Linked DNA regions of Yarrowia lipolytica. The protein of the gene in region 1 interacts with the protein of each later gene in a pairwise test. Links are inferred from orthologs where the notes say so. Each region holds a gene or a part of one and is shown in the gene's direction. Other genes may lie near its edges.

Region 1 (2,186 bases):
GATTGTGAAAACCGTAGTAAGCCTCTGCACAATCTGATACCACCGAGGATACACCAAATCAACAAGTCTCCAAGAATTGGGATGGGGGGGGGGGGGGGGGGGGGTCGGCTATAGTTGGTCTAAAACAAACGTGTCTTTGGAGCTGTGATTTCGAGCAACATTGGTCGTACCGGTACGAGTAGTGTACTTGTATCCTAGTACATCACCGTTTAAAGATCGATAGAATACAGTGGTACAGTACAAGTAGGTCCCACATTCCTGGAGCTCTTCTCGGGGAAGCTATATAGAGTTCTTCATACTCCGAGGTGCACGTGACCTAAGAATAACTTAAGAATAACGAGCATCGGAACAGGAGCACTACAACTCGTCAAGCGGAAGGGTTTTAGTTGCGAAAAATAGCTAAATGGAGGTTTTGCGAGTGTCACTTTAGATTTTGGTCTTTTTTGTCGGAAAAAACATCCATACATGACCGATTTGAAACACTCTCTTACGACTATGGACACTATGTATGTACATACTGTACTTTTCATACAGTTGAAAGACTCGTCCCCCGACAGCCTCCTGGACACCCTGAGACCTTGAAACTCTGTAAATAAACACCACTGAGACAATTGCCTGTTGTCCACAACTTTGCTCCGATGACTTGTTCCGTTCCAGATCTTCGCTGACTAAGCCCCGACAACAACTGATCTCCCATTTGCTGCATATTGACTCGTTGTAGGAGACGAACCTAATTTTGAAATTCTCACCGTCGGACATTCCATCATTAAAATGCTGAGACCTGCTATTCGACAAGCAGTTCGGGTTGGTGTGGCGCGACCACTGACCGCGCGATGCTACAGCAAGAAGGAGAACGCCCCTCTGCCCTTTTTCACCGAGGATGCTTCGCCCACCCCCAACACATGGAAGCAAAAGGTGGGAGAGGGCATTGTGTCTCTGTTCAACATCAACATGGACAAGTTCCGAGCCGCTCCCGTGGCCGGAGGCTACTACTACAACCTGTGCAAGGCCCAGGCTCTTGTGGATCTCGGAGACCCGCTTTCCAAGGAGGAAAACAAGAAGGATCGACGTAAGCCCGTCAAGCCCGTCAAGCCACCGGTGCTGTCCGAGACCGCCAAGTTTTGGTACGAGGAGCTTGGAATGCCTATGACCTTTGCGCGATGGTTCCAGATTGTCGTTCTGCACGAATGGATGCTGTTTGTGCGGATGCGAGCTCTGCCACCTGCCGTTGCCCAGGAGTACCAGCAGCTGCTAGTGGACGCCATGTTTGTCGACATTGAGAAGCGGCTGAGCACAGAGATTCGAATTCTCAGCAACCGAATCATCCAAAATTACATGAAGGACTTCAACCTGCAGCTGCGAGGAGCCATGCTCAGTTACGACGAGGGTCTCATCAAGGGCGATGCGGTTCTGGCTGCTGCGCTCTGGAGAAACTTGTTTGACGGAGACCCCAACGTTGACGTGGAGCATATCAAGCGAGTGGTTGGCTACGTTCGGGCCCAGCTCTATCTATTTGAGAAGACCAGCGATCGAGACTTTGCTGTAGGTCACTCTACTTTCATCGATCCCTGGAGCGAGTACGAGCCATTGACCAAGGAGCAGGAGGCGGAGATGCACCGACTCAGTGAAGAGCGTCGACAGAAGGAGGAGAAGGAGAACGTTGCTGCCAAGAGTAAGCTGCAGTAGACAATGTATATAATTGATTAAAAGAGCACAACAAGTACCACGCACCTAGCTGTGAGAGTATTGGTACGAGTAGGTCTACGATACACACAAGATCATGCTGAATAACAGATCAACCACACGATACCACATGGTACCACACAGGTTCTCATCATCACATCCCGTCACGTGACATACCACGTGACACACCACGTGACACACAAACACGCCAGATTCTCCAACCGCCGCCAAACCGATTCCACCAAATATACTCCAACCCAAACACGATCAACATCACACTAGAACCAACGGGGAAAAGCAACCAACTTAGAGGAGTTCACTATTTGTATTCGAAGCAGGCAATAAATAAACGGACTCGTCTGGGTGGTTCAATTGGAATAAATAAATGTCTCACTTCATCCGACACGTGCAGTTACCTCGGCCCATATCACTCCCATCTGACTAAGCAAGCAACTCGCGCATTTATCGTACATGGAAAAGAACCCAAATTTTTTACCACTTGG
Region 2 (2,640 bases), on another chromosome or scaffold:
AAGACTGTTTCCTCTACGTTTCCAAGCACCATACTGCAGTGGATATCGTAGGCCTGGGTTAGTAACAGAATGGACTAGGACAGGTCATTAGCGGACAGCAACAGACATTACATTTACACATGTATCATGTTCAGTGGATATGTATCCGATTCATACCGATCTTGACTTGCCTGCCATCTTCTCATTGTCCTTCACATTGCTACTCACATGCAAAAGTCCATAAAGCTCTCGTCCTCCACGGAGCTTGACGAAAACGTTCTCGTTGAGAGAAAGACCAATGAGATCAAGGGGCTCAGAGCCGCCTGAAGTGTCGACGTCGGTCATTGTGATGTGTGGTGTGTCTGTCGATAGATGCTGATTAGTGTCTGAGATGGTGAGAGTATGGGGTTAGGGTAGGTTGGGAGGAGTGTAGAGGTGGCAGCTGGATGTGCAGAAGACGATGTGGTATTGGTATGATAGGAGGTAGTGGTTGCAACAGGGGATGTCGTTAGTGTAACTGATCTCTTAATAGGTGTCTAGTATGTCGCATGGTGGTCGGTCTATATAGCGTCAACACCGTTTCAGGTGACTGTAAGTATAGCACTAGTAGTGGGTAGAAATGTGAGTGGGTATAACTACATACTGTACCAGTAGAGAGAGAATATGGTGCCGAACATCACAAGGAAGAGGGACCATCATGTTTTGGAAGTCCTGACATTGAAAGAAGTCAGATGTTAAGGACTTGACATCTTTTTAATGAACAATTAGGTGCCCTGAAGACCATTTCTATTACTGATCCTCTCTACACGCGTCACATGACATGAAACCCTATTCTGCTAGCACCTACCGAGCGAAATTTGGGAGGTGAAATCCTGTGGGAGAATAAAGTTCCAGATTCCCAAGCGATTTTTTCAACTGACGACTGTATCCAACAGAACATACACAACCATGATCCGATCGCTACACACATCGGCTGTTCGACAGGGTCGTAAGAAGTGGCCCAAGCCGCTGCCCGGCTCCGTGACCGGCAACGAGTTTGTCAAAAAGCTGGAGCTCAAGGCCCCTATTGCGCCTGCTCTGGACAATATCGAGGTACCCGATTCGCATCCTCTGTGGCAGTTTTTTTGCAAGGACAAGAAAATTGTACGGGATCAGCGGAGCTTTGACAGCAGCACGCGACCCTGGAGTGTGGCCGAGCTGCGACGAAAGTCGTTTGAGGATCTCCATGCTCTGTGGTACGTGTGTCTCAAGGAGCGAAACATTCTTCTGAAGGAGGAACGAGTCACCACCCGAATGCACTTTGAGAACCAGAACGGTGGTTACAGAAGCGAGCATGACCGAGTCGGCGAAACCATGGTCAACATTCGACACGTACTGGCCGAGCGATACAGAGCGTTTGAGGAGGTCCAGCAGGTGCTTCCCGAGGTGCGAGCCCAGGCCAACGCCGAATTTGACGAAAAGTACGTCACTGCTGACGCCGTCTACGACAGCGAGCTGTCTCTGGAGCTCGAGCGACACCTTGTCGCCTACTACGGCTTCTCCACCGACCCCCGAGCCAACGCTGGCGTGCAGGTGGACGAGAAGATTATCGAGGCCGTCAAGTACGGTGCCAAGCTCAAGTACGAGCGATACAGCGGAGCCACCGACGAGAACGGCAATCCCATTGCCAACCACGGCTTTGTGCACCAGCCCAAGCGAGACATTTTTGAGCAGTACCTCATGTTCCTGGCTAATGACACCACCGAGGGAGTCGCCGAGGCCCTCAGCTACATCAAACAGTACCGAGAGTCCAACCCTCTGCCCGTGGCTCCCTGGAACGCCATCCGGGTGCTGCAACATCTTGTGGAGGAGAAGATGGGCGCCGCCGCCGTGTTTGAGGAGGCTCTGAAGAACAAAAAGTTGGATCTGTCCGAGCAGGACATTCTGGAGAACATTCCTGCCCAGTTCCTTAACAAGCTCCCCAAGGAGTGATGTATATAAGAGTCATGTATATAGTAACGATATGATAACAGATAGTGGGTAGTGTGTATGAGTGGGAGTAAATGTTGTATATGGGTACAACTGTACTACTGACGATAGTGTACAATTCATGAGTGTTACGGCTGATGAGAATGCTGTGTAGCCTGTCTGAGCGTACAAAGCCTTTCATGGAAGAGGATGTAACTACGGTTACCTCAACCTCCATTACAGTATGTACTTGTAGATCGAAACCATCTCCACTACGAGTACATTACAGTACATTACAGTATTGTCTGTCCAAAAGTACCCTACGCAAGTATTGGTTCATCATGACTTACTGAAATTAGTCATCAAATCGTCAAATGCAAATATATACAGTCTCTGAGTGGTAGAGGATTGCAATGGAGCTTGTCGCTTCTAACCACGGCTCGTTACGCTCTCCGCAGTTAGCCCTCAACAACATCATCAACATACCCCAACTTTTCCTTCCGGGCCTCTCGTCCTCCGTCAGGAATAGCTCCAAAACGGTTAAATGGCCACAGCACCTTGGGACACTTGCCATGCATGAGACCGAGTGACACTGGACCGAAGTTGTTGGAGTCGAACGAATGGATGTTGTCGCCCTCGACCCACACGTGGTTAAAGGGCACAAAGCACGTCTTTTGCGGGTACGGGTGGCGGGTCACAATCTCGTCGCCTCCC

The links. The genes of interacting proteins can lie anywhere in the genome.
Region 2: the proteins of YALI1_C25367g (region 1) and YALI1_B14680g interact in binary tests that used the Saccharomyces cerevisiae proteins (3 or more experiments, as listed by UniProt). The link is inferred for Yarrowia lipolytica from reciprocal best matches to the Saccharomyces cerevisiae genes CBP3 and MRPL4.

What each region holds. Positions count from the first base shown.
Region 1 is NC_090772.1:2,535,316-2,537,501, reverse strand, and holds YALI1_C25367g (uncharacterized protein), read left to right. Parts: upstream 1-771; coding exon 772-1,686; downstream 1,687-2,186. UniProt on the Saccharomyces cerevisiae protein: Chaperone required for the assembly of ubiquinol-cytochrome c reductase of the mitochondrial respiratory chain.
Region 2 is NC_090771.1:1,466,310-1,468,949, reverse strand, and holds YALI1_B14680g (mitochondrial 54S ribosomal protein uL29m), read left to right. Parts: upstream 1-927; coding exon 928-1,950; downstream 1,951-2,640. Other genes in the region: YALI1_B14686g (uncharacterized protein), read right to left, coding at 1-53, 208-324; YALI1_B14658g (uncharacterized protein), read right to left, coding at 2,385-2,640. UniProt on the Saccharomyces cerevisiae protein: Component of the mitochondrial ribosome (mitoribosome), a dedicated translation machinery responsible for the synthesis of mitochondrial genome-encoded proteins, including at least some of the essential transmembrane subunits of the mitochondrial respiratory chain.